Arabidopsis thaliana: one gene and its partner. The protein of the gene in region 1 interacts with the protein of each later gene in a pairwise test. Each region holds a gene or a part of one and is shown on either strand. Other genes may lie near its edges.

Region 1 (5,266 bases):
AGTGTTTTCGAAGGAATCTTACTCTTTGATTGTCTGATTTGGGTTTTAATTTGTTTTTGTTTTCGTTTCTTCTTGCAGACCGGAGAAGTCGTCAACCCTAAAGCGTATCCGCTTGCAGATTCTCAGTTATCGATAACAATTCTTGACCTCGTTCAACAAGCTACTAACTACAAGCAGCTCAAGAAGGGTGCTAATGAAGGTATCCGCTTGTTACTCATGTGTGTTTGTCTCTCTTATTTATTGAGTTTAATGTTTGTGAAGTTGTTCCTGATTTATTTAAATTTGTTCATTTCAGCTACGAAGACTCTTAATCGTGGAATCTCCGAGTTTGTTGTCATGGCTGCAGATGCTGAGCCTCTAGAGATTCTTCTTCATCTTCCCCTACTTGCTGAGGATAAGGTTTGACTTCTTCTTTCTCTGGGTTTCTCTTTTATTATACACCAGTTTATTTAGCAAATGAGATATTTGTTTCCTTAGTTCATAGAAGAGAATTAAGTTTACTTGCTGAGGATATAGTTTGATTAGTTTGTGCCAATGTTCAGCCAAGTTTTGTATATCATTTTGTTAACTAAACTCTGATTTCATACTTGTTGGAGTTTAAAATGACAGCTTTATGATTGTCTTTTATGATTTTGTTTAGCTTGTATGTTTTTGATTCTGTAATGCTTTGTTGTTCTTATATACTAGTTTTCTATATTCTTACTTTCTTTGTGAATGTTTTGTAGAATGTTCCTTATGTCTTTGTGCCTTCAAAGCAAGCCTTGGGAAGAGCCTGTGGTGTGACTAGACCTGTTATCGCTTGTTCAGTCACATCTAACGAAGCTAGTCAATTGAAATCACAGATTCAACATCTCAAGGTAACTTAGCCCTCACTTGTGTACTCTCTTTATAACCTTGAACCATCATTGATTCCACAGAATTGGTTAATCATTAACTCTTTTTTTACATTTCTTCAGGATGCTATTGAGAAGCTTCTGATCTAAGGCATTCTCTGAATTGATTGCTCGGTATGATGGGTCTCCGCGAATGGGAAGGCTTTGACTGAAGTTTTGTTTAGGCAACTACCAAATCAAAAACCGTCCATTATTCTACTATCTTCTCTTCAAGTTTGTAACGTAATTCACTTTTCTGCAACTTGGTTTCTTAAGAATTTGTGTTGGTTTCTGGTTTTGGTTTGTAGCGAATCATTGTGTTATTTATAAGAACTTGTTTTGATATCTATCACAAAACGAACAAAAAAATTGAAATAAAAATTGAAGGACTTGAATTGAGATTGAATACGAAATCAATTGGTCTGTTGCATTATGCAAAGTCTTACCTTGAATTGAGATCGAGTCACTAGTATCATTTGCAGTCATCATTTCTTCTTGAAGAGGATTATGAACTTGTATATGTAGTAGTAGAGAACTTGAAATATCTAGCATATGACTTTGGAAAAGAAGAAATCAATAATTAATCTGAAGTGGTATATATTACATCAACTACAACACACCCAACACAGAAACAAAGTTACATTGCAGTTTTGTGTAACCTAAGGACTTATGACCGACCAAAGATGATATCCAGAAACATGATCCTATAGTTTCTTCTGCCTTTTTGTGTACATTGATGATAATGTCTTGTTTAATCTGTTAGCTTCTTCTATTGTATAAAAAAGTGGAATAGAGCGAGTGTGCCTCTGTCTCACTCTCTATTTGGCTTCTTGCTCCAACAATGGAATCTTCTTCCATGTCTCATCTAAGCCATTTAACTGTAGAGGCGGCAATGAAAACACACTAACAGTAGAACTTCCACTCCTGATCTCCTTCAAAACCCGCAAGGCAGCGATTGTGCTCTTCATATGAAGACTCTCCATGAACTTATGCTCTGATAACTCTGCTTGGATAATCTCAGACTCAGTTTCGTTAGCAGGGAAGATCTGATCAAGCATTGCCTCAGATTCCTTGACAAGCTTGAACAATAAGTCAGTAGTGTAAAAAGGTTGCTGAAGAACTTTCTGGATGAAAGGTAAACGCATGAGATCACCAGTTCTTTTGTCATACTTCTTCAGTATCTTAACCAATCCTGTTGTTTCAACAAACCATTCATCAACGTTTTGTTCTACTACTAATAATAAGATTAAGTCTTAATGAGGCAATTAAATTAAATTACCAGTGTAATTAAGAGCACTGTAATTCTCAAGAAGAACCATTTCTCCATGGAAATCAACAATCTCCTTCCTGATTTTTATCATCTTCTCCATTGAATCCTTAGCTTTCGCAATTCTATCTCTAAATTCCTGTTTTTGTACAGACAGAGACACATTAGAAAAAGAGATGATCATTTTTAGGAATCGGATTCGAAATGTTGTTTATATTACCTTTAGTCTGATGATATATTCTTCTTCCTTCTCAACGAAGAAATTGTTGAATTTCTCCAACTCGTCTTCTAACAATTGGATGAAATTGATCTCTTCTTTCGATATTCCGACGGAAAACTCATCTAAACGGAGTCGTTTAACGGGACGATCGGCGGTTTTGGAACCGATGAGTTTGAGTCGTTTTTTGAGTTCTTTGTAAGACAAGAACTTGTCTTGCCATTCAGGAAGAGTTTGCTCGATCTGATTGCTGAGACTCTTACCAAACTTCATAGCTCTTTTATTTTCTGGGAAACTTAAGTGAGAATGATGAATGAAGAAGAAAGAGAGGGGGAAGAGGTTTAGAGATATAAAAGGGATTAAAAAGAATATTCTTAAGGTTTCTAATTAGAATATCCTTTTTTCTCTGTCTTTCTTTCGGGAGAATATCTTCCTTTTATTCCTTTCTTATTTATTACTTTTTCGTGGTTATCTGTGGGTGAGATTATAACACATGCCTATGTCAGTTCATAAATATCAATCACAACTCACATGCCAATTTATTTATCCAATACTTATTATTACAGATTTGCTGTCCAAAAAAAGAAAAATAATATTACAGATTTTATATCCATTTATCTGATTCATTTTTTTCTAAATTCGTATGGGTATCGTACTAATATCTTGATTCATTTTCTTTAGAGTTTGTACTGTATTCATCTGATATTTAAATATTTTACGATATTAGATTTCCTTATTTGGTATTGTCTATATATGTTCATGATATCTTCATAACTATGTACAGTATGTATTAAATCATCTTTTTAAAAATATATGTCTATTTATACATGCAGATACACTATGTAGTAGTGATTTTTTATTTTTTTTGCATTTTTAGATTTAATCAAAAACGAATTGCAAAGTAAAAAAAATGAATATTGGATATAGTATTTACAGTTACAGATATCCTCAAATCCAGCTCAGATTGTCGTCATGACATAAATACGTGGACGTTTGGTCTTCATGATCATATCTGTCTCTCCATGATGATGGCATGATCAATAAATAGTAGTTCAATACTACAACTAGTTTGACAATTTACCCACTTTTGATTTTCTGAAAAGATTTAACAAATACGCAAATGGGTCAAAAGTAGTTGGATTCCATGGAATATTCTTGATAGGAAAAGGGTATAAACCTCGGCATCTTTCAATCTTTCTTTAAAGCACCCCCCAATGGACAATTTATTGAATTTTCCCGATTCGCGTCTTAATTCATTCACATTTGCTCATTATTAGCTTCTGATTTTGACATTTAGGATAAACCACCGGTCCATTTGACATTGTCTATATGCAGCAAATTCTGCTGATTTTACAACTTGTCAATTTATATTTATTAAGAAGACTATCAGTTTATTAGTCAAACAACCAAAGTCCAAATCCTTATGACATGGTCGTCGTATTCTTTACAATCTTTGACGGATAAACTAAAACAATATTTACTTTGCCGTATAATCGAAACTTTCGTGTCTCTGTCTCATTTCTGGGTACGTATGTAATTAATGTATGCAAGCAAAGTAATCCATTGTTGGAGTTAAGTTCCCTCCAGTAGCCCAAATGGAATGGGCCTCGTTAAGTCAAAGTTCCATAATGAAAAAAGCCTAAAGAGTGAAAAAAAAATCTGAATTTTAACCGAAACAAATTTAGTTTGGTTCGTAAATAAAACCAGAACCAAACCGAACCGACAGTACCAAAAAAGAACCGATTGTTAAATGAAAGCGAACAACCACAAGAAATAAAATAGAGCAGAAAACTTTTTTATCAACGATCAATGGCTACCGTTAATCAGCAGCTTTACCGGCCAATACTCACCGCCGTCGGAAGTGACTGCCGGCGGCATGTAACCACCCGTTTCCTCCCTGTTCCGAGACGCAACGTAACCACTCGTCTACGGCCAATTTTGAGTCTTGAGGTGGGCAAGGAAGTGGCTTCAGCACCGTCGACAGTGAACATGGAAGAGCTCGTCGGATTCTTGTACGAGGATCTTCCTCACCTTTTCGACGACCAAGGAATCGATAAAACGGCGTACGATGAGCGCGTGAAGTTCAGAGACCCAATCACTAAGCACGACACCATCTCTGGCTATCTCTTCAACATTGCTTTCCTCAAGAATATCTTCACTCCTCAGTTTCAGCTTCACTGGGCTAAACAGGTCTTTGCTAACTTTTGTTTATCATTTGATTTCTTTAATTCTAGTTTTTTTTAAGTTCACTGATGCAGCTGATATATAGACAGGTCCATATGAGATCACTACGAGATGGACAATGGTGATGAAGTTCATACCTTTACCATGGAAACCAGAACTTGTCTTCACTGGATTATCAATCATGGAAGTTAATCCTGAAACTAACAAATTTTGTAGTCATCTGGTATGTATGGTTGCCATGTCCTTCTTCCAAAATCTATTGTGGTATGGTCTACTTATTACAAGTAGATGTTGTGCAGGACTTGTGGGATTCTATCAAGAACAATGACTACTTTTCTCTTGAAGGTCTTGTTGATGTTTTTAAGCAGGTTGCTTTCTTGGCATTTGGCATGAATTGAGCCCCCTTAGAAATGGTTAATCATATCTTACAAGTACTACCTTTTTTTGCAGTTACGGATATATAAAACGCCAGACTTGGAAACTCCAAAGTATCAAATACTGAAAAGAACAGCAAACTATGAGGTCACATATCTTCATGTATTGGCTTAATGGAACCAACTATGCAAATGTGGTTGCTTGCCTTAAGTTGGATTTGATTGTTTGGCAGGTTAGAAACTATGAGCCCTTCATTGTGGTGGAGACAATTGGTGACAAGCTTTCTGGTTCTTCAGGTTTCAACAATGTTGCTGGGTGAGGGTTAAGTCTAAGTTTCTGTGAGTGTCCATA
Region 2 (8,198 bases), on another chromosome or scaffold:
TCTGGCTTCTTCTTCTAAACCGAAACTAAGTGAAACAGTCAGAGGAGTGCACAAAATGCACCCTCTCAGCTTCTAGTTATCCTTCACACAAACAAACCCAACTCATCAACGTATTTATTCTCAAACTCAAATCCAGAAGCATTTCAAGAACTCAGCTGAAGCTTTTTAGTACAGGCCACTCCAATCTCATCTCCCCAAAAACCCAAACCCTAGAGATCATTATCTACTAGCCAGCTTTGAAATTCAACCTCGGCTGTTTCAGAATCAGAGTATATTACAAACCCTAGCTTGGAATTAGCAAATCAATCCATCAAGAAGGAAGAATCAATCCAACTAACCGTTTCTCCAAGTTCACGAGCGAGTAAGAAGACGAAACTGAATCAGAGCAGAAAAACCCCGCATTTTTTGTTTCACGCCCAATTCGGAAGCTAAGAACTTTGAGAATTCCCGAAATTTGAGTTGGAGCAAATCGAGATCAGTTGAGTTGAACAAATGATTGGAGCTTTGAGAACAGAGCAACAGATTCGAATTGCCTAAAGAATGATGAAATTCGAATTGAAGAAGGAGGAAGCGGGCAATGAGAAGCGGGACCCAAGCTTGTAAGCAGAAGAACAAGTGTTGGAAGATTTGACCAGAAAGAATTCAGACAAAAGAAAAATCGGAACAAAACAAGTAACTTCCGAGTTCCGACACCAACCCAATGATTTCTCGGCTTCTTAATAATACACTTCTGCTTCGATTGAATCTTCGTGGCTTCTTCTTTCGTATGGCTTTTCAGATTTGAATGTCTGAGCGCTTTCGCTCTTCTGTGTTTATTTTAGCTTCGATCGCTGCTTATTGGGTTTTTGTTGTTCGTTTTTCTTCACTTTTGTTTCTGTCTGTTTTGTTTTTTCTCTCTCTCTTTCTGTCTGTCTTGATAAAATTGGTTATTGGGTTTCTTCTTTTCGCTCGTTATTGCTTTTGTACTTTGGTAAGAGATTGTGTAACACTAGATTGAACCCATTTGATTATATTCATCTTACAATGTTTTGATCTGAGTGATCTCATCTAATATTGGATCATGTCAGAATTTGTTTACTTGACACTTTACGAGGTTAAAAGATGAGTGGTGTTAGTACTTGAGATTTCCCCCAAAAAAATTAGGTGTTGGCTTTTTGGTCAAGTAAAAAAGATTTAAAAATTTGGCATCGAACAAAAGAAAAAGAGTTTCAACATATGGAAACTGCAAACTACAAAGCTTCGTCAGCTGGAACGAAACCAAGCTTCAAACTTACAACATTAAACATTAGAGATTTCAGACAAATGAAAGAAACAACAGAGACACAATTCCACATAACTCGACAAGACAAATCCTCCTAACTCAAATACTACAAGATAACCTAAAAAGATAACGAAGTGACCAAAGACCAAACACAAACAGAGTGGGATTCAAATCTAAAAGAGATGTCACATAATCCTACCTCATCATAATACTCTCCTACTGCATTGTGTTTGTTGTGTACAGCTCATCTTACAAAGTTTATTTGGCCCGTCCTTTGCCTCGACCTCCTCTGCCTCTTCCTCTACCTCGGCCTCTTCCTCTTCTGCTGTATGCCAAGACCTTGGTATTTCCCGGGCTGCTACTTGCTGAGTTTGAGTTAGGTAGAGACTGGTCTCCTGGGAGCCACTCTTCTTCATGGGTGCTTGAACTGTTAGAGGCACTTGAGTGGCTGTCATTGCTTTCGTTATTAATTGCACCATCTGAGCCATTCCCTACTGTCATATCATCACCATGAATTTCAGCTATAGGCTGAGAAGCCTTGGTTTCTTCTGGTGGTGTGGGTTTTGGTTGACCTTCCATAACCGCTGGTGAACTGAAAAAGTAAGGCTTTGCTTAGGAGGAAATAATGTCATCATGTCAAACTAGCCAGACAAAGGAGTTGCTTTTCACCTAGGTGATGAAGATGGGAAACCGTTAGAAGTATGACGTGATGCGCCTATTTCATCAGCTTCTTTTGATGTTTCAAACACATCTTTAGGGATGCAAGAGTTCCCAGTAGGATCCAAAGTTGCCCCAAGAGCCAAGACAGCTGCATCAATAGGAGCGCAAGTAAATTAAGAGAACCCAACTAAAAATCAGAACCAAAGGAATTCAACATCCAATGTATACCATTTGTGGTGTTTCCGATAGTAGAAGTAGGTTGGATAAAATCGCCATCTTGATCATTGAAGTCATCTACAGCAGTTCCACTGTCGCATACAGTTGAAAAACTTCAGAAGATTGATATACTAAAAAACATATCTGTCAAAAAGAAACAAGGTACAATCTGTGTTGGAAGGATAAGCACAATAAAAAGAACCTTTGAGGAGCGGTATTCGTATCTTCAGATGGCTTGACTCCTTGTGTGGAGATAAATGTCTCCTCCAAACCAACTCCACCTAATCAGAACACATTAAATCCATGAGACAGAGTATAAAAAGCGAAGATGAGAGAGTGTATACAAATTAAGGATTAAGGGAGAAACTAACGAGATCTAGTGTGTAAAACTCCTGTTTCTTTGACGGCTTGATTAGCTTCCGTAGTCTTCACTCAAGTAAAACACACAAGGACACCAAAACAAGAAAGATTGGAACTGCAAGTTTTTTCTTGGTAATGAGAGACACATAGTGTAAAGAGTGCTTGATACCTGATTGTGCTCAGAGGTAGGTATGGCTGAATTTGGTAGAGCTCTGCTTTGTTCATTCCGTACAGCTGAAAGAACAGAAAAGAAGAGTTAATTTCAGTTTCAACTCATGTCTTACTGAAAAACTTCTTCCACGTGTGAATAAAGAAAGAAAAAAAACACCTCCATCAGCATTCAAAGACGAAGCATTTCCTTTGAGCATATCAGTCGCTAAAACATAGGGGCTGTATTTAGGTTCCAAAGAGGCTACACTACTGGGACTTTTAAGCATTTCCTCGGTTGCTTTAGCTCTGACTTTGCGAATTTCATCTTGAATATTCCATGACTGATTAGAACCGGACTTCCTTTTCAGCTGCATTTGGTAACCAATGTCAGAATGAATAAGGGTAAATTTGAGAGAGCCATTGAAAATACATATAACGGTATGCAACTTTTCTTTAGGAATAGCTGGAAATAGTGTCCCACAAATTCCTCGTGGTTATCTAACATAAACAATAGAAGTTAAGCAGAGAATTTTATCTCATAAACCAAGATGAAACGACTTCAGACTTTCAAACAACATTTGACCAAAAGAAAAGTATGCACTGCTGGAGAACTTAAAATTCTAACCTTGGATGAGGAAAAGTTTCCAGCGCTATAAGGAAGGGGTGTCCCTTGCACTCTTGCTGATGATGGTGATCGAAAATCTAAATTATTCGCAGCTGGAGATCCCCATGGCAGACGAGCTCGCATATAAGACTTGGCCACGTCCACAGGCGATCCAGCACCATCTTCAGTTGCCTGGAGATTTAAACTAATGGCTGAGATGGTGATCATCATTTAAAGTACAATGGAAAAAGAATACTGTGAAGCGAAGCTATCAGAAGTTGACCAAAATCATGTAAGTAAATGGTCTTCATAGTCAAAAGAAGAGCAACAATATGGATCTTTTGCATTTTAAGCGGACAAAAAGGTATTTCCCAATCAGGACATTTCAGAATTAACGTCACCAGATGGCCACACGCAGAATTCTGAACAACCTACTTTTGCAAGAGAGCTTTAAGTTGCTGATCACATGGATTGGCATATAACAATCAAATCATTTTACCCAAACAGAAGATGTCTCCTTCTATAATAATAATGGCTTAGAGCACGGAGACAAGATATCACAAAAAAGTTGATACCTGCAGGCTGCAGCAATTAGAACAGTTAAGAAGCAAGTTTCCAGAACTTACTTTATACTTTGAACTTGATCCTGATTTCTTCTCCTCCAACCATTTTCTTGCTTCCATGACAGCTGTATTGGACATTTCACCCACATTCACGTCTAGAAATAAAATAGAAAAGAAGACGTTATCACATAGACTAATCCGGTCTACTTGCACAGTCTACCATCAGTAACATACCGCTTGTCAATCCATAGTCATCATGACTCGTCTCAATAGCAGAGGGGACGCTGGGATGATCTACAACCCTAGCCTTGATGATATCTATTAACCTATCACCCTCTTCCCTGAAACAACATACACATGAATGAATAAGCAGGATACAAGATCAGCTTAGATTTGGTAACTACACACGTCTCAGAAAGATTCTTTAAGCTATGAGGTGTAAATAATAAGAATAGTCGAGGAGGCTGCTACTTATGATGTCCAAAAAGCCAGGCAGAGAAATACCTTGCAAATGTTTCTTGCAAGAGAAGCTGCTCAATTACACGCTTAGAACTGAGTCGTTGAATGCTTGGTTGCTGGGCACTCAGAAGGTCCTATTCACACAAGCACAAAAACTGAAATTATGCTTTTATAAAAAAAACTCTCAGTTGAAAACGTGTTAGCTTCACGAACTTTACTTCAAACAATTATCATAGGACTACAGTGGCATAGCAATCACCAAAACGAACAAGGTGGTTAGTACCTCTTCAGTAAAATCGGGATTGTTCTTCTCAACATCCTCATCACCATCAATATCTGCAAACAAAGAAGAAAACATATAAAAATCCATACATTAAAAGAATAAGACACAACAAAGCTGGTTGGTATTCTCAATCCCAGAACTACATTATATGAATAAAAATTAGAGCTTTAGAATTAGTATGAAGTTTATAGCTTAGAAGTAACCTAACTAAATAGAGTACAACAATGCTTAACTGCTCTTAAGTCCCACATATTAAAGGAAAGAGAAAATGGGAAAGCTTTAAGTCAAACTTCACATTTCAAACGAAACGGTAGCTTTCAGATTCGACCAGACAATAAACCAAAAATTCAAATTAATCCTATCTAAACTGAAATAAATGGTACAAACCTGAAGATGAATCCTCGTCCTCCTCCGAAGATGAGGAAGAGTCGGAGAAGACGACGGAAGAAATGAATTTTCCGGCGCCGGAAGCAATTACGCTGGCGGGTTTGTAAACGAGCCTGGAGATCCAACTAGGGTTTTGCTGAGGAGGATCTCGGGATCTCTGAACGGGGCGCTCACACGGCGTCCTGACAACAGCGGTGCGTCGTGGTCGAACAATTTTCCCACCGACTCGAGGCTGACCTGCTCCGGCGGCGTAACCGGAGACGGAATCCATGGTGAAAGTGAGAGGAGGAGGGAGAAGTTCGTTGTAGGAAATAATGAAAGTGTTGAGGAAAAATTGGTAATTTCTCGTTATTTGTCGTCTTCTTGTTTTTTTTTTTAATTGGGGGTGAATAGTTAGTTTCCTAAATTACAGGCCTGCGGTTAAAATTTCTTCCACTAATAAAATTAGGCAAAAACAAAACATTGCGATTAAAAAAAATTAATCGTAGTAAAATCATGTATTATATTCTTCTCTTTTCATATTTTGAACATATCACATGATGTTTAGATCTTATAAATGCAGTAATTTAATAGAGAGATTAGAATTTGGAAGAAAAAAAAGTTACATGATTAAACGAAGTAATTAATCAAGTTGTAAGTAGTTATTTTAAAAACAATATTAGAAAAATGTTTTTTGGTTACTCATACAGTAATACTTAATTCGTCAACTGTGTCAGTGTTACAAAAAGGCTAAAAGAATGGGCCAAATGGGCTACTCTTGTATCGGGTCAGGAACGGGTCAGTTCCAACCCGATCGGATCTAAAATGGGCGGGGCGCCTTCCTTTTCATTTTGATGGCAATCAATCATCATCAATCGACGCTTTTTTAGAGACAAACACGATCGCCGATCCATTTACGAGCCGTCGTTGCTCTACACATATCAACAACAAATCTTATCCTCCCAACTATCTTTTCTCTGATTTTCTTTTCTTCTCCAGTTTCCATTTCTAGAATCGATCGATATTGAAGGAGAGAAGATGCCTGGTTTAACATGTAACGCGTGTAACATGGAGTTCAAGGACGAAGAAGAACGTAACCTTCATTACAAATCCGATTGGCACCGCTACAATCTCAAGCGCAAGGTTTCATTTCTTCTGCTTTCTCTATCGAATTTGAACTCAAGCCTATCTGTTTCTCGGGAAAATCTTGCGTCGGTGATGAGATGAAAGTTTCTGAGAAACAGCTTTTCCATTTTGCTATCGAAATTGTTTAGTTAAGGTTATGGAATCGTAGAGTTTATATGAAAATTTGTTTTGAAGCTTATTCTACTAAGGAACAAGGATTTCAATAATCATAGATTTGGTTACTTCTAGGCATTTGAATCTTTGTATTTCTGTAATTTTTTATGTTAGGTGGCTGGAGTTCCTGGAGTTACAGAAGCCTTGTTTGAGGCTAGACAATCTGCTCTTGCTCAGGAGAAGAATAAATCAAATGAAGCACCTATGCTTTATACTTGTGCAATCTGTGCTAAAGGTTACAGGAGTTCCAAGGCTCATGAGCAGCATCTTCAGTCGCGTAGCCATGTTTTGCGGGTTTCACAAGGGACATCAATCAACGGAGAGGAGGATATAGCGATTATCAGGCAACTTCCTCGCCGTGTTCAACACAGGGGTTCCATTGATGATGATAGTGAAGATGAATGGGTGGAGGTTGATTCTGACGAGGAATTGGCTGCTGAAGAAGCCTCTGATTCTTTGTCTAAGTTGAATGTGAATGAGTCTGGATCTGCTGAAGATATGGATGATGATGGTGATGCAGATAAGTATGAGCTGGATCCAACCTGCTGTTTGATGTGTGACAAAAAACATAAGACCTTAGAGAGCTGTATGCTTCACATGCATAAGCATCATGGTTTCTTTATTCCCGATATTGAGTATCTCAAGGATCCTGAAGGGCTTCTCACTTACCTTGGTCTTAAGGTTTGGACTCATCAATTTACCATTCAGTGTTCGTTGTTGTCAAGCTTTGAAATTCTTACTCCTGTTTACTTATACATTGCTCATCATTTAGGTCAAGAGAGACTTCATGTGTCTGTACTGCAATGAGCTGTGCCGTCCATTCAGCAGCTTAGAAGCTGTAAGAAAACATATGGAAGCAAAGAGTCATTGCAAACTGCATTATGGTGATGGTGATGATGAAGAAGATGCTGAGCTAGAAGAGTTTTATGACTACAGCAGCAGGTTTCAACTCTCTTCTATCTCTGATTATTCTTGTTCTCGCCTGTATTCCTCGTTCTATGCCAAATCTTAATCCGCACCTTTCTTTGGAATATATGAATTGAGCAGCTATGTTGATGAAGCTGGAAAGCAAATTGTTGTATCTGGTGAAACAGACAATACTGTAGAACTCGTTGGTGGTTCTGAGCTCTTGATCACGGAGAAGTCCGAGAACACAACAACGTCTAAAACTCTCGGGTCCCGTGAATTCATGCGTTACTACAGACAGAAGCCACGCCCAACTTCTCAAGACAGCAACCAGATAATTGCCTCTTTATCTTCAAGGTTTGTTTTCTCCAAACCCGTTAATCATCCGAGTCTATCCAATCAGATAATCGGCAAGGTAAACTAAGGTTATTCCAACAAATGGTAAATTCTCAGGTACAAGAGCCTGGGTCTGAAGACAGTACCGTCGAAAGAGGAGACTTTGAGGATGAAAGTGCGCAAGGAGATGAGCAAGAGAGGCGAGACAATGCGTACCAAGATCGGAGTGAAGAGTAATGTCATAAGAAACTTGCCCAATAACGTCCCATATTAGTTTCTGTGTATGTGCCACTTGTTCTCAAGTGTTGGATTGTATGATGATTTCATGTACTTTTGAGTCTTTGACCAAGTTGTGTTGCTACTTGGTAATAAGAGTAAGCTTTAAAAAGAGTATGTTCACTGAAATAGAAATGTTAAAAATTAATACACGAACGTTGACTTCTGATTTACTCTCAATATCTACATTGTCCAGAGATGCATGTAAAACAAAGAAGAGACAACGACAAAAGGGTACTACAATATCCCAAAAAGGCTTTTTGTTTAGTTTTTGTACAAAGGCTGCGACTGCTGCGAGTAATGTCACAAGACAAACCTAAAATAAAATTTATGTGTAGAAACAAAAAGAAAAAGAAGAAAGAGGTCCAAAACCAAGAACACTGGCTACAAATAGGCTGGTCTGCATCATTTGCTTCGCTTCATTTTCCAGCTGACTGAGAAAGAACGAAAAGGAACATT

Evidence for each region. Proteins that work in one complex are often made in the same cells at the same time.
Region 2: the proteins of SPX1 (region 1) and AT4G31430 interact in a two-hybrid assay, tested with the Arabidopsis thaliana proteins (one large-scale study listed by BioGRID).

Annotation. Positions count from the first base shown.
Region 1 is NC_003076.8:6,799,792-6,805,057, reverse strand, and holds SPX1 (SPX domain-containing protein 1), read right to left. Parts: upstream 2,777-5,266; 5' UTR 2,630-2,776; coding exon 2,360-2,629; intron 2,279-2,359; coding exon 2,152-2,278; intron 2,065-2,151; coding exon 1,691-2,064; 3' UTR 1,403-1,690; downstream 1-1,402. Other genes in the region: AT5G20160 (Ribosomal protein L7Ae/L30e/S12e/Gadd45 family protein), read left to right, coding at 79-399, 726-857, 957-983; HBP5 (SOUL heme-binding family protein), read left to right, coding at 4,166-4,546, 4,626-4,763, 4,840-4,908, 4,991-5,062, 5,148-5,230. UniProt on the Arabidopsis thaliana protein: Plays a positive role in plant adaptation to phosphate starvation. Inhibits PHR1 DNA-binding activity in a Pi-dependent manner.
Region 2 is NC_003075.7:15,245,526-15,253,723, reverse strand, and holds AT4G31430 (flocculation protein), read right to left. Parts: upstream 5,348-8,198; 5' UTR 5,215-5,347; coding exon 4,944-5,214; intron 4,610-4,943; coding exon 4,557-4,609; intron 4,408-4,556; coding exon 4,319-4,407; intron 4,156-4,318; coding exon 4,049-4,155; intron 3,970-4,048; coding exon 3,878-3,969; intron 3,444-3,877; coding exon 3,273-3,443; intron 3,016-3,272; coding exon 2,826-3,015; intron 2,732-2,825; coding exon 2,667-2,731; intron 2,564-2,666; coding exon 2,509-2,563; intron 2,419-2,508; coding exon 2,340-2,418; intron 2,230-2,339; coding exon 2,150-2,229; intron 2,070-2,149; coding exon 1,931-2,069; intron 1,854-1,930; coding exon 1,520-1,853; 3' UTR 1,165-1,519; downstream 1-1,164. Other genes in the region: AT4G31420 (Zinc finger protein 622), read left to right, coding at 5,961-6,065, 6,336-6,902, 6,994-7,163, 7,266-7,484, 7,581-7,737.